Caenorhabditis elegans: one gene and its partners. The protein of the gene in region 3 purifies or fractionates together with the protein of the main gene of each other region. This does not show direct contact. Each region holds a gene or a part of one and is shown on either strand. Other genes may lie near its edges.

Region 1 (4,357 bases), on a different chromosome or scaffold from region 3:
TGGGATTCATCAAACGACGCCGTCCGAACTGGAAAAGATCAAGCAAAGCGTGCAAAGGAACTCGTCGGAAAACGAGATTACTACAAAATTCTCGGAGTCCGCCGGAACGCCAATAAACGAGAAATCACAAAAGCCTATCGAAAAATGGCTCAAAAATGGCATCCGGACAACTTTCAGGATGAGAAGGAGAAGAAGAAAGCTGAGAAGAAGTTTATCGATATTGCCGCGGCGAAGGAAGTTTTGAGCAATGAGGAGAAGCGGCGAGCTTTCGATAATGGACAAGATCCACTGGATTCGGAAGCAGGGAGGGGTGGAGGTGGAGGTGGAGGATCACACGGATTTCATAATTTCCACGGATTTAATCCATTCGGCGGTGGTGGTGGTGGCGGCCGTGGTGGCGGCGACTTTTTCTTCCATTTTTAATTTCATATTTCATTATAGATATAGATATTATTGTGTCATTGGATGTGTTACCCGGACTATTATTGATCTCTTAACTTGCTTCTTTTTTTTTTTATTATAAATCTTTTTATGTACTTAGAAAAGATTAAAAAGAAAAAAGAAATGAAAACTACAAAAAATAAGGCGATTTCTCTCGAAACTAAAGGCACTTCAAGTATCTAGTTGATACGATTCCACTGGAAGTGATCAGTCTTGAATTGTCCCGGTTCTGGATGATTGTCGACGTATGGCTTCGCGATTTTTCCGTCGAGGAACAGCTTGCAGCGTTGTTCACGGATGGCGTCAGCTCTCTGGAAAATTGTTTTTCGATTATTTTGGAATTTCATGTGATGTTTTTTAAAGGCGCACGGGTTTATTCAGATGGGTCTCGATGCGCAGAAAAAAGATTATGGTAGTTTTTTCTCTTTCAGGGCAAAAAAACTGGAGAACACACATTTAAATTTTTAGGAAAATCGAAAACCAAAAATATTCGATTTTATCAACAAAAAAAATCCAAAAGTTAAAAAACCAAATTTTTCAGAGTTTTCGATTTTTCTTTTCTTTAGAAATAGGAGAAAAATCGGAAAAATTGCATGAAAGAAGACGAGAAAATAAACTCAAAAATCAGAAAAATGAAGGAACATTTTTTTAAATTAGAATTTTAGAAATTTCCGGAAAATGAACGAATTTCGTAATGAAACTGCTCAAAAATTTTTAAAAAATTTTTATGGCGGTTCAAAATTTTGAAAAATAACACTGATTTTAGCTAAAATCACGAATTTTTCCCATTTTTCCGTGTCACATCTGTCCGTAGTTGGCTTTTTTGGAATTATCGTCCTTTATTACATATATTGGTAGTTTATCTCATTTAATTTCGTCGATTAAAGTACATTTAAAGCCGATAGGTAACCAAAAATCATCGAAATTGGTTACCTATCGGCTTTAAATGTTATTTGATCCACGAAATTAAATGAGATTAATTACCAATATATGTAATAAAGGACGATAATTCCAAAAAAAGCCAACTTCGAACAGATGTGACACGGAAAAATGGGCAAAATTCGAGATTTTAGCCAAAATCAGTGTAATTTTTTCAAAAGTTTGAACCGCCATAAAAAATTTTTGGAAATTTTTTGAAAAGTTTCATTACGAAATTCGTTCATTTGAGAACATTTTGGGTCTATACGTTCAAAATCGTCCGAACCGTTAGTCCTCCGTTAAAAGAATAAATTCAAGGGATCAAATTTATTTGGTTTTCACTAATTTTTTGTTTTTTAGTCCAATTTTTTTTCGCGACAGTTCTGTTCCGGATATCGAACCTTCTTCTGTTTATCCCCAGTGACACACTCCTGGAAGTCACGATGCTCGAGATCACAATACTTGCGTCCCATCTTTGCTCCGTAAGCCTCCATACAACGGTAGAATTGAGATTCAAAGAATCCGCAGATACGTCCCTGTTGGGAGAGTGGAACCGAAAGAGTATCGGTTATTGGAGCCTTTACGATTGGTGACAATGATGTGAAGTTCTCCGGATTACGGTTACCAGTTGCCATTGCGGATGTTCTGGAATTTTGGAATTTTATTATGAGTTGAGAAGCAAAATATCGATTTTTCGGTTTTTTTTTCAGAGATAATCAGAAAATGTTTTAGAAAAAAAAACTAAAATTTTAAAATCTGTGTTAATTTTTTTATGTCGATGAGGAAATGCATAAATAGGAAAAAAAACATTTTTCTCAAAAAAAAAGAAGAAAAATAGCTAAAATTTATAGACATGTTTCGAAAAAAAAAAATAATTTGTCTAAGTATCGGAAAATCGAAAAAAGAAACACACTAATATTACGGAAACGCAAAATTCTGAGTGACCCGCAAAATATCTCGTAGCGAAAACTACAGTAATTCTTTAAATGAATACGGTAGCGTCGATTTACGGGATATCGATTTTTTTTAAAGAAAATTAATTTTAATATTCAATCGTTAAATTAATTAATTTCAAAAATCGAGATCCCGTAAATCGACACAACCGCTACAGTAGTTATTTAAAGAATTACTGTAGTTTTCGCTACGAGATATTTTGCGCGTCAAATGTGTTGTGCAATACGCATTTTTAGAATTGTGTTCCCGTAATAATTTCAGAATTACCCAAAAAATCCTAAAATTAAATACTGTTTGGATAAAAAGGCACGCTACAAGATCAAAAAAGCCATGAAATGTAATTTTTGTTGAATAAATTTCGAAAAAATGCCTCGAGAGAAGAAAAATCATGAATAATCTCAAACTATCACGCAAAAAAAAGGAAAAATGGTGAAAAATCCCAGATTTTGGAAAAATTTCAAAAAAAAATTCCCAAAAAACTAGATAAAACCAATAAAATATTCTTCTAGAAAATTGCTTTTTTTTCAAAAATTCAACAAAAATTTTTTTTTTGCAAAACCTATTCGCAATTTAAGCTATTTTTCCTATTTTCGGTGGATCCCAGCAAAATTTCAGCAAAATTCCATCCATCTACTAATTTTTCCGCAAAAAATCGCCAAATTTTCCAAATCTTTGTATTCAAAAATTGTTGAAAGTGGATTCCAAGTTCAAAAAAATTTCGTCAATTTATTTTTTTTATTCATACTAACTTTTCTTCAGGAAAATCGGCTAATTTTCCGAATCTTTGCTACTAAAAAATTGTTGAAAATCCACAAAAGTCTTTTCCTCTTTCTCCCAGTTTATTCATTTTATTATCCGAGCTTCTCCCCCCCCCCCCTCTCTCGTCTTTTTCACATCTTTTTCGTAACGGAGGTCTCCTTTTCCGTTTTCTTCAACGCTTTTCGCAGCACACAAAAATCGATATCAAGCGCAGTAGTGTGTGCTCTTTCTCTCTCGGAGCAAGAAGGCAACTTGGGGCTCTGTCAAACATGGACGCCGTCTATAATCTCGTTGAATGTGAGTTAAATATATTAAATTAATTTCAACCGATTTTCATGAATTTTCAGCTGTTCACGTTTTTATTCCTGTCGTCGCGCTTCTCGTCTTTCTCACAGTTATTTATATTAATTCGAAAACTCCTGATGAGCCGGGTGAGTCAGCTTTTTGAATTTTGTGAGAAAAATATCGATTGACCCAGGCGTGTGCGGAAATTGCCGGAATTTTTCATTTTCGGCAAATTGCCTATTTGCCGGATATCGATATGACGGAAATTTGTAGAGCGATTTTTTTAAAACGGAAACACTCCAAATTGTGCCTTTTTAAAATTTTTTCCCATTTTTCGTTAGATATTTTCATAGAATTTTTAATTTTTTAAAATAGATGTAAGAACATTCATTGGATGCCTTTTTTAAAAATTTCTTTGCCTATTTAAATTGAAATTCTTCAAAAGTTCCAAAAAAATGTGCAAGGCCACAATTTGCCGGAAATTGTCGATTCCGGCAATTTGCCGATTTGCCGGAAAAATAATTTTTGGCCATCTTTTGCCAATTCCTTCTGTATTTAACATTAAAAATACTCGATATATATCTTTTTTTTTTAGATTTTCAGGTAAAAATCGATGATGTTTTTTTTTCTATGAGAATTTTTAGTTAGTTAAAAAATTTTCGATTTCCGGAAATTGATTTTTCGAGAAATATGTCAAAGTTTTGGTCATTTTTTTTTAAAATAAAATTATGTTAGATTTTTCTCATGAATATAAACAACATAATTTTCCAATTATTTTCGGGAAAATATAAAAACTAATTTTTTTTTCGATATTTCCAAAAAAACAAATCTATTTTTCGAGAAATCTCTCAAAATGTTGGTAATTTTTCGTTTTTTTTTGTTTTTTGAAAAAAATTGCAGGGTTTCCTATGCTTTTTCTCATCAATATTAGCTTTGCTCCGAGAAAATCCGAAATTTTATTTTTTATTTTTGAAAAAAAATTCGTTTTTTTTTCGAGGCA
Region 2 (6,952 bases), on a different chromosome or scaffold from region 3:
ATCTCCATTTCTTTACTCATCAAGAGTTAACTCCATGATAATCGCTACCTGGTCCGGGTACCCATTGTACTTTTGTACTTTTTTTGTCCCAATTTTCCCCATACACATTCATTTCCATTTCAGCCTTAACACTTATAAAGTAGCTCAGTAGCTCATGTCATCTCCTCTTCCCACCTTCAACTCTGTTCCTTCGAACTTGTCTCATTTAATTGTAGTCTATCGCGGGCCCATTTGTGCAGAGCCCCCGGTGCTTCTGTTCGTCACGGCTAATAACTGTTAATTTCCCAGATTTCTTTCAACCCACCTTTTTGTTGTTGTTATCCTGCACATTTCAATGCTCACACCCCAAACTAGATTATACGGAATTTCATGTTTTTACACGTTTAAGTTGTCATTCTTTCCCGCTTCTCCCGAACGTTTCAAAGCCTAACTCTCACATTTACAATTCACTTATTCACCCTCGGTATATGTATAAGCTTATTCGAGCTTACTTTTTTTTTCTGTCTGTTTTTGATTACGTGAATAATTTCTTTATTTTTTTGTTCATTGAACAAACAAATTTCAAAGTCTAGTACCTTTTATTGACAGCAAAAAAATAGTCATATGAGACGGAAAACAAATTGACCAAAAAATAACAAAATGCGTTCGTCTACTGGAGTAAAATCATTTAATTTAACTAGATGCTCACAGAGTATCAACATATGGGACTTCTGAGACATTTCCATAACTGGCCAACGACAACTTGGTAGTCAATTTCTTGGCGGCAACTTCAACATCACTAGCCGACACATTTGGAATCTGTTGAATGTAATTGTCTTGGGACTGGAAGAGTTGGGAGGCTCTCTCGATGGCAAAGTTGTCGGAATGAGCAGAGGCTCTCAAGGCGTTGTTGAAGGCCTGCTTCTTGACGGCTGAAAGTTGAAATTAATACAAAAACCGATTAAGTCGGTAACGTCACAGTAGTTTGAAATTACCATCAACCTAAAAATCTGCAATTAGTTTTGTGCTAGAAATATTCCATTTCGCTTAAATTTTACGACAAGGTTAGCATAGTTTAGCTTTAGTCTAGTTTAGTTAAGTTCAACTCTACCACAAGAACACAATTTATATTTTGGGTTTTCAGTATAGGCCTCTAAAAATCATATTTATACAAAAGCCCTTCTCTAAGGCGGCTCAAATTGTAAATCTACATACAAAAATGTCAAGTATTAGGTCGTGAAAAAAGTTTTCTCCGAAAATTTTGAAAGTTTTGCCCCGGAAAGTTCTGCAGCTTTCTGGACTATTTTATTATAGAATGTTGTAGAACATCCTAGAAGCATATCTTTATTTAATTTTTATTTTTTTTTATAATTTCAGAAATATCGATGTACAAAAATAGTGTGATCCCATTTTATCAAATTTATACTCTAAAAAACAAAATTTCTTACCTTCAATATCAGCGACCTTCAAAGACTTCAATGCTCCAACTACATTCGAAACAGCTTGGTTAGCCTGGCTTCCTTCAACGACAAGGTATACTCCGGCCAGTCCACTATCCGCATGAACAGCTTGGAATGCGCTGGCCGATCCATTCTGTCCGACGGCTTTTGCGATGACTCCAGTGGTTCCGGTGTTGAATCTGAAATTAATCATTTCAAGTGTGAACATTGTAATTCCTTTTTTGTATTACTTGACTGGTGATGAATTTCCAAGTGCGGTGAGGAGAACTGCTTGGGTGGCCAATGCTTTCGTGTTGTTTCCGGCAGCTCCTTCTCCAGCGACAATCACATGCGCGTACTTCGAATCGGCATCTCTGCGCACTTCTCCTCCCTAGGTGTCAGAAAAGGTGAGAAATGATAGTATAGATAACATAAACAGTGGAGTGGATAATGAAATTGAAATTTGCAAAGTTTTTCTGTTCTATTTCCAAATCCAAAATGAGTGATTGCATTTTTTCGGGGAAAGAAACAATAGTAGCAAGTTTTTTCCTCTTCATGCCAAAGGTATACTGAATATCCGTCGCATTGCGATATCTGTCATACGACTAGGACCGGTAATTTTTTATCGGCGCGTTCTTCCCGATCTGTTGCGTGTCTAAGTTTCTAAGTTTTCCCAGCCTCCCCCTTGCCCTTGCAAGTTCTTGCCGGCTTTCGAGTTTTTTCGGAGAAAAATGTATAAAAAAGTGTTCACCAAAGCAATACACAACATTGTTCTCAACGATGTCTACTCTTGGCTATATTGGGGCAGGCGTCTGCTTGCTCGGAGTTTTCTCCGCTCTTTGCTCAATTGGACATATTGTTCAAGATATTAACAACCTTCGTTCCGAAGTTGAAGGACGCGTTGATGAGTTCAAAGTTCTTGCCGATGATACTTGGGATCGTCTCCTGATTCTTCAATCTCCAACAGGAGAATCTGCCAATCCAGTGCCATCCCTCCTCCGTAACAAGAGATTTGTGTACCCAGGAATGTGCAATTGCGACAGCAACTCTCAAGGATGCCCAGCAGGAGCACCAGGACCACCAGGAAACCCAGGAAAGCGTGGAGACGAAGGACATCCAGGAGATGAAGGAAGACGTGGAGCCAGTGGTATCTCTCTTGCAACCACTCACGATATTCCAGGAGGATGCATTAAATGCCCAGAGGGACCAGCTGGACCACCAGGGCCTGATGGAGACTCTGGACCAGAAGGATTCCCAGGACTTCAAGGGCAATCCGGACCATCCGGTGAAGATGGAGCCCCAGGACAGGAGGGAGCCCCAGGAGATCAAGGAGAACAAGGACCAAAGGGATACGATGGGACCGACGGACCAGACGGACAGCCAGGAACCACATACTTCCCAGGACAAGCTGGACAGCCAGGAGAGCCAGGATGGTTGGGAGAGCCAGGACTTCCAGGACAACATGGAGAGCCAGGAAAGGACGGAGAGGAGGGACCACAAGGAGCACCAGGAACTCCAGGAAACGCTGGTCACGACGCCTTCCCAGGAACCCCGGGACAAGCTGGAAAGCCAGGAGCTCCAGGTAAAATTTTTGTTGTTGTTACTAGGAATTTCTTGAACAAACAGTGATGAAACATTTTAAATTGTTTCAGGAAAAGATGCCAACTACTGCCCATGCCCACAAAGACAAGACGACAGAACCCCACCATCATCTGGAACATCCGCTCCACAGCCACCACCACGTGGATCCACTGCTGCTCCAGGAACTCGTGCTCCACCAGCAACTCGCGCTCCACCAGCAACTCGTGCTCCACCAGCAACCACCCGCGCTCCACCAGCAACAACTCGTCCAGCACCAGCTTCACAGCCACCAGTCAGAGAGCCAGAGACTCCAGATTCTGGATACCCATCCCCAGCTCCACAAGAGCCAGCTCATCCATCACCAAGCTACCCGTCTCCAAGCTATCCATCTCCAAGCTATCCATCCCCAAGCTACCCATCTCCGAGCTACCCATCCCCAAGCTATCCAGCTGAGCCAGCTTATTCCGTCCCACCACCAGCCAAGCCAGAGCAGCCATCAGGAGGATACGATGCTCCATCTCCACCACAAACTGGAAGCTACCAGAGACGTTGGTAGATGCGTGACACTTCTCATGACATTATTTATGACTTTGTTATCCAACTCCACTGAATAAATATTCGTTTTCAAGAACTCACCTTGTAAGCACTTGAAGATGGGGACGCAGCGTTTCCACTTCTGATTGGGGCGTGATTGTCTCCATAGAGAAGAAGGTCATCGTGAACAGCATTAGTGGCAAACAATACTCCGTTTCCTGTGACGAAGTGCTGCTCCTGAAATTTTAAAATTGAAAACTTGCAGATAAGAATAAGCAACTTACTGCAAATGAGGACAAAGTTGATGTGCAGATCGATCCAATTTTAGAGCATGGTGCATAGATTGAGTTTCCAAGTCCTCCATTTCTAAAAAAAAAAGTTTTGCTCAATGAATTCTCGAAAGCTTCTCAATGCCAAACCTGTAAGCGGCCTTGTGAATCTGGTCAACAACCAAGTCGTAAGCGGTTCTGTATCCGTTGTCAGCGCGCATAGTTGGCAGCACATCCTCGACTTCCCATGGCTTGAATCCTGGGTTACCAGCGACTTGTCCCAATACGGAAAGTCCGACGGAAGTGCTTTCGCGTGGAATTGTGAGGGAGACTCCGAAAAGATCGCGGGAGGTGAAGGATTTCTGAAACATCACCCTCGCTATGTCTGTGAGACTTTTTGGAATGCTCATGAAAATTTGATAATTTTGCTCCAAGTTAATTAGACCACATTTTTTCTGAAATTTTGATACAAAATACTTAATTCCAAATTTTTTTTCTAACAAATCTTTTCTAAAAAAAACTGTGAATGTATTATGCAATCTTTCTTCAAATTTACATTAAAATTCTTAGTTCTTTTCTAACGCCCAGTAGATTCAACTTTATCGATTTTTTTTTCTTGCTCACCAGAACTCCTCCGGTCTGTGACAACGTCCATACAACTGTGTTTCCAAAGTATTCCTGGGTATCTCTGCCGACGAAATTTCTGATGGTATGAGAGAGTCCGGCCTGGTTGGCTTTTTCGTAGCGACTTCCAGCTCTGAAGGCAAGAACCTAAAATTTGAAGATGATTTCGGATAGAAGAAACAAATTAAAAAAAAACCAAATGTGCAATTGGTTTGTGAGAGTCGATAGTTCCAACGGTCAATCCATTTCCAAGTTTGGCCACTTTTTCGACTGGTTTTGTCGTTGCTGCCTTATGGGCTCCGCGAACAGCTCCAATGTTGCGGCTAAGCATTCTGAAAAAACTAGATTTTCAAAGAAAAACTAGATAATTTTCAAAAATTGGGTAAAATTGAACAATACGGTTATAAAAAGTGCATAATTTATCAAATTTATTCATTTTTTGTTTAAATATTAAATGGAAAACTAAAAATAACTTCATTTTTCACAAAAATAGGTCCAAAAAATGAGAGACGCCTTTCCCGACTCATTGCTGACGCATCCCTTCTCGCTTGCGCGTTTCGTGCGCACATACGTCACTGGCCAAATGGCATGAAACGACGAGGACTATGAACACTTTATTACGGCAAAAATTAATAAACGAATAATTGAAATTTTTTTAGTTTTTACGAAGCATGTTTTGATAGAACATGTAAGACATGAATGGAACTGTTGTTTGACAAGCGGATTGACGGTTTTCCACGCGGTGGAATTAATTTGAGTTGTGGTTGCTGGCGGTCCTGAAAAAATATATTTGAAAACTAAAAAAATGATATAAATTTTGTGAGGTTTTTTTCGAGAGGAAAAGTTTGATTACAAATTTTTCAGTTTCAGCAAAAATTATGTTTTCCTATAATTTTTACAAAACTAACAAAATGTGCTTAAACCAAGTTAGGATATTTCTGAAGACATTAAAGGTGGTGTAGTCGAATTTTTTTATTGCTTTATTAGACTCAAAATTGTCTGGAAATGCCAAATTTCATAATGAAACTTCTTGAAAACTTCTTTTTAAAAAAAGTTATGACGGCTCACAAAATGGCCCAAAATTCGCTAGAATAACGGCGAGATTTTTAAATTATTTTAAACCAAATCTTGCCTTCCATCGACTTTAAAGTACCTAAATAAAGTTGAAAACACAAGATAATTACACGGTTTATTCAAAATTTGACGGTAATTTCAAAAAAAAATTGTTTCCAGCCGCTGCGACATAGGCAAGTCGGTCAAATTTCAAAATTTAACTAATTTTAGGTCACTTTTTCACGCGTCATAACTTTTTTTTGAGAAGTTTTCAAGAAGTTTCATTATGAAATTCGGTGTTTTCAGACAATTTCAAGTCTAATAAAGCATTAAAAATATTCGACTACACAACCTTTAATAGGATTCGGGAATCACCAAGTCTTGCCATCAAATTTGTACAATAAGAAATAAAGTTAATTTTTTTCAAATTCTAGTATAAATTAGGGAAAATTTATAGATTCACTTACATTCGACTTCACTTTCACAACAAATGCTCTTCTTCGTTTATCGGAACGTATTGGCCGAGTATAACGATAAAGTGATAGGAGGCGTTCCGAGGCTGAAGATGACTGCTCTAACATTAAAATTACTTGCGCCCACTGGAAAGTAAAATGGTGAAACTTGAAAATAAAATGTTGAAGTATAAAAAAATCACCTGACGCTTCCATTCTTTCTCAGTTTCGGCAATTTTCTCATAAGTACGAGTCATCATAGCAATTAGTAGATTCAGAAGCATAACAGTCACAATTAACTCGAAGAGGATGAAAAATACCTTAAAACGAGCTTGTAAGCCTGAAAAGAGCTTTTTTTGTAACCTTGGACTGTGGAGCAATGCTGCTTTTGCACTCGTTCAAGTTTTTATAAAGTGCACCAAATTCTCCCACACTCATAATAAACATTCTCATCACTGCCTCCCAACCATCTTCCATGATGTTTTCAAATCTAAAAAACATTAGGTAGTATAAAATCGTGATAAGAAATGTTTTCTTACTTCTCAATATATTCATCGTCTTCAGTATAGTTATGAGCTTTCTGATAAGCAATTTCTGCTCTCTCACAGGATTTGAATATAACAAAAAATGCTGGAAAATACTTCGACAATTGAAATTATGAAAACACTCACCTTGTGCAAATCCCATTAAGAAAAACGAGTATATAAGCAAAAATCGCAGCATATCTCTCACAATAATTTTGTACACCATCAACACAAATGGCCCGACAAATTTAAGACTTCTGAAAAACTTTGTCATAAGTTCAAACTTGTATCTTCAAACTTCTAAAAGACAAACCTGCAATAAAAAAGAAAATGCAAAGTACTCATGATTACAATGCACACCACTAGCAAGTTCTCAATGACTAGAAAACTATCGTCCAAATAACATCCAACACGGAGTGGAACTGTGCATAACACAAGAATTTGGCAGAACTTATGGAGAACTTTCTCAGGGAAGGCCTTCTGAAATTTAACGAGAA
Region 3 (3,891 bases):
CTAGGGGATGCGTTTGCTGCTTCAATGGTTCAGCATTTATTGCAGGTTTGATAGAAAACTCGAACTTGGAGACAATTGTATATTTTAAGAAAAAGCTGGATCAAGCAGACGCTCGTCACGATTATAAGACTGAACTGAAAGGAGAAATTGAACTATTGAAGTCAGCTGCCACCAGTAGAAGACCATCATTCACAATGTCAGAAGCTTCTAAGGAGCTCTTCTTGACACACGCGAACACAGCTGGAAACTCAAGAATTGGATCACGAATTGGCTCTCGTCGTCCTTCATCCACCAACTTGCATCTTTCCTGGCGTAATAATAACATTGAACCACCATACACACCTCTGCCCAACGATGAAAACGTGTAGTTCCATGATCAATATTTACATTTTTTGTCCATGTCACTTTTCCATTCCAAAACAGAAAACGGTTATTCTCTCCTCTTTCCGCGAGAACCCATGGATTGTTTTGTACATATCATTTTTACTATTTTAAGCCACTGATGAAACTCAATAATTTATGTTTGTAAAATTTAGCAGAAAAGTAAATAGCGCATGACATTTCTTTTTTTTCGAAGTTTAGAGAACATAAATCGACATTGAAAAATCAACGGTTGAGGACTAAAAGAATTTTAAGAACGCTATTGATGGGAGAATGGAAGTGATCGGAAGATCTAGTTGGATGGATCGAATTCGAGTCCAAGTCCGAACTTGTGAGCATCATTGGCAGCAAGGTTGAATTGAGTGGAAAGTGTCAGCTTAAGAGCTGGAGACAAGGAGTGTGTGGCAGCAACGGCAACTTGGGAAGAGCTGTTGACCTTGGCGCGGACAGTAAGGTCACGGCTTGGAGCATACTTGGTGGCGAGAGCGTAGTCAGCTCCGTTTCCACCAACCTGAAAATTCACTTTAGTTTTGGTTCTAGGATTTTAAAAAGTTTACCTTCCATCCGAGTTGAGTTCCAACCTCGACGTTGGAGGCAACCTTGTGGTAAAGGGAAGCTCCGAAGTCGGTTGAGTTAATAACGAAAGAGTGGAGGGTGTATTGTGGAGTGGAGTGTCCGAAAGCCAAAGAAGTGGCTGCCAACTTATTCGATGAAGAATCGAAGGTGGCGGCAGCTCCGATGAGCCATCCGTCACGGGAGAAGACTCCGGCAGCGTTGATAACTGGAGCAGAGGTGACTCCAACATCAGCGGTAACCTGTAAATGGCTAATTTGTTTCATTTCACAAAGATGGATTTTTGAAATCTCTATTTCTACATTCAGAAAATCGAACCCTGAAACAATCATGCTTCCAGTCAAGCTTGAGACGAGCTTCGCCAATCTTATCACCCAAAATATGTACAAGACTACTCACTCTAGCAGTTGGGAGAGCCCAGTCGAGCTTCACTTTTCCGCTTCTCTTTCCGGCGTGTGGGGCATAAAGAGAATCGAGAGTGACCTTGAGTCCACGTCCGAATTGCTCATTAACTTCGATAACAGTTCCGAGCTGGTTCTCGGTGTTCCATTTCTCGGTCAAAGTGATTCCTGAAAACGAAACAACATGATTGATATCTCTCACACAATATGTTGTATTTTTGTTGAGCGGTCGCTAGACGTCACGTGGTGTTTTAGAGTACATACAATTGCATCACCTGCGTCACGAGGTTGTCCCCATCTAGCGGGTAGACAATAAGATGTTCAGACGAGCTTACCGTATTGTGGGATCTTGTACTTGACATCGAGATTTCCTCCAAGCTTTCCGGATCCGATATTGTGAGAAGCGGCTGATTTGAACTCAACCTCCTTGTTGTCTCCAGCTCTAGTGGTGGAGTCGATCTTGAGGAATCCAAAGTCTGGAAAAAAATTAATCAGGCGAATAAATGACCTAACACTATTCCTCTCTACAAAGATAAAATTGAAACTTACTGTATCCTTTGTTGAAGAGGTCCTTGGCGGACTTTCCAAGATCAGCGAAGGTTGGTGGGGCCATTTTCTAAACACAAAATATTTTTTGAAACATGCATTCTAGAGTTACACGAGAGAAGGAAAATAGGAAATTTTCGAAAAATGAAGGCTTTGAAAATGTTTGCATTGAGCAGTGCATACGAGAAAAACGGAAAGAAAGAGATAAACCAACTCAATGGCAGCAGTAGGAAGTCGATAAACAATGCGCCAGAAAACACAACATCGCCAAAAAATATATTCAGGGTTTCAGTTAAATGATTTACAATTATCTTATCGGGAAATTCAGAAGCAAACATTTGTAACATAAAACTCCGACGGTATCGAAAACATTGAATGCGATAGAGAAAGGACAGATCACGCCACAACAGCAAATTGAGAGTTCAAAGGCAAGCACATTGGCGCGGCGACCGCCCGTCTCGAGACATAGGACGAAAATGAGAGGCACAGAGACTGGTTACTGCAGCGCGACCGCTCCGCTTCCAAAAGTACTGGATTATTTTGGCAGTTTTTCAAAATTGAATGATGCACTGAGAAGAAAAGATTTGATGCAATGAAAGAAATATTGACTAACGAAACAAAATGAAATTAGCAAGAAATCTCAAATTTAGCGTTAAACCAGGAAATGGTACCGGAAATTGAGCACAAATCCAAATAGTTTCCGCATCACCTGGTTCAGCGAATTCAGTTCACTTCTGTCACTTGCATCTAACCTATTCGAAATGTACCGCTCGGAAGTCTCTAAGCCACAACTGGAAAATCCAAACCTAGTCGATAGAATAATTGTAATTATTCTGCCGAACTATTTCTATGAATATGAATCCGTACTGAAGCACATAACAAAAGAAAACTTCGGGATTATAGAGGTAAGTTGTATATATGAAAATTAAAGAAGAAGAAACTGATTATTTAGAAAACTGTGAAGCATTTTAAAACTGAAGAAGTCATGGAGTGGAAAAGTGCTGATCTTGAATCCCAAGATATCTGGAACTTATCAGACAGGCTAATAGACGGACCATGCATGTTACTATTGTGTCAACGAGCGAATGCTTTTATTGAGATGAAAGAAGTGGCCAAATATCACAATGTGATCGCTAAGAGGTGAGCAAAGACCAACAAACATCCGAAAATACTGAAAAACAATGGAAGAAAAACATTGCGCACAGTTGAAAATAACCGTTACCGTAGTCTCGTTTCGGTACGAAACCTTCACACTTTTGGAGGTTTTTCAAAAAATCTATCCGAAGAGTTTTAAAACTTCACAAGCGTTTAATTCAGAATGAGTTCAAGTGATGGAATATATTATTCAAAAACGACAATTGCCGCCTATCACGATATAATTTTCTTTTTCCCCAAGTGTAAGATTCCATAAAGTTAGAATTTTGACTCTCCCATAAAAATATATTCAGACATTGACGAAAGAGCAATGCTGAAACATGCCAAGGATTATCTCTCAGTAGAAGTATGGCCGAAACTGAGCCAGGGACTGGCTCGCGTAGCAGTTGAGAGACCGGATAATCCAATTGTTTGTTTTCGAATACACCATTTAGTAACATGATTTTTTTGACTCTTTCAGAAATGGCTCGCAGATTATCTACACCAACTACGCCAATAAGTTTATGTTTCTAAAAAATAATATAGTGTAAATACCCATAAACCAATAAAACAATAAATTTTTTAAAAATATGCATTAAAAATTAACTACAAAACTATGCGAAAGAAAGGGCAGTAGAACATATATTACATGTAATCAGATAACACACAGGTAGTGATAAAAACGGCTTTGGTCTCAAAAATATGTTTAAAAAGCAGGAGAATTAGTACTCTTCCTCCATTGCAATTCGTACAAAAAGAGATGCAGATGGGTCCAGAGTATGTTGATATCCGGTATTTAGTTGAATTTGCGAGAAACCTGTACGAAGACTCATAACAGGAATTGAGAATTCTCCAA

What was found. Proteins that work in one complex are often made in the same cells at the same time.
Region 1: the proteins of vdac-1 (region 3) and nduf-5 fractionate together in Caenorhabditis elegans (co-fractionation; one large-scale study listed by BioGRID). This does not show direct contact.
Region 2: the proteins of vdac-1 (region 3) and ucr-2.2 fractionate together in Caenorhabditis elegans (co-fractionation; one large-scale study listed by BioGRID). This does not show direct contact.

The regions. Positions count from the first base shown.
Region 1 is NC_003279.8:3,000,844-3,005,200, forward strand, and holds nduf-5 (NADH dehydrogenase [ubiquinone] iron-sulfur protein 5), read right to left. Parts: upstream 2,005-4,357; 5' UTR 1,995-2,004; coding exon 1,761-1,994; intron 753-1,760; coding exon 621-752; 3' UTR 517-620; downstream 1-516. Other genes in the region: dnj-28 (J domain-containing protein), read left to right, coding at 1-423; Y54E10BL.3 (CcoQ/FixQ family Cbb3-type cytochrome c oxidase assembly chaperone), read left to right, coding at 3,342-3,369, 3,420-3,503.
Region 2 is NC_003284.9:15,171,710-15,178,661, reverse strand, and holds ucr-2.2 (Peptidase M16 N-terminal domain-containing protein), read right to left. Parts: upstream 4,759-6,952; 5' UTR 4,758-4,758; coding exon 4,623-4,757; intron 4,574-4,622; coding exon 4,427-4,573; intron 4,165-4,426; coding exon 3,953-4,164; intron 3,900-3,952; coding exon 3,818-3,899; intron 3,771-3,817; coding exon 3,636-3,770; intron 3,631-3,635; exon of another isoform or gene 3,556-3,630; coding exon of another isoform or gene 3,071-3,555; intron 3,001-3,070; coding exon of another isoform or gene 2,199-3,000; exon of another isoform or gene 2,181-2,198; intron 1,810-2,180; coding exon 1,670-1,809; intron 1,619-1,669; coding exon 1,428-1,618; intron 912-1,427; coding exon 685-911; 3' UTR 517-684; downstream 1-516. Other genes in the region: col-41 (Nematode cuticle collagen N-terminal domain-containing protein), read left to right, coding at 2,199-3,000, 3,071-3,555; ocr-3 (Ion transport domain-containing protein), read right to left, coding at 5,089-5,202, 5,947-6,078, 6,135-6,251, 6,295-6,421, 6,471-6,561, 6,603-6,712, 6,769-6,935.
Region 3 is NC_003282.8:7,505,921-7,509,811, forward strand, and holds vdac-1 (putative voltage-dependent anion-selective channel), read right to left. Parts: upstream 1,972-3,891; 5' UTR 1,969-1,971; coding exon 1,905-1,968; intron 1,832-1,904; coding exon 1,691-1,831; intron 1,524-1,690; coding exon 1,354-1,523; intron 1,197-1,353; coding exon 939-1,196; intron 893-938; coding exon 674-892; 3' UTR 501-673; downstream 1-500. Other genes in the region: Putative sodium-dependent excitatory amino acid transporter glt-6, read left to right, coding at 1-45, 90-368; R05G6.5 (Uroporphyrinogen-III synthase), read left to right, coding at 2,663-2,806, 2,854-3,041, 3,219-3,298, 3,350-3,465, 3,517-3,555; plc-4 (Phosphoinositide phospholipase C), read right to left, coding at 3,758-3,891. UniProt on the Caenorhabditis elegans protein: Forms a channel through the cell membrane that allows diffusion of small hydrophilic molecules. Plays a role in maintaining mitochondrial morphology.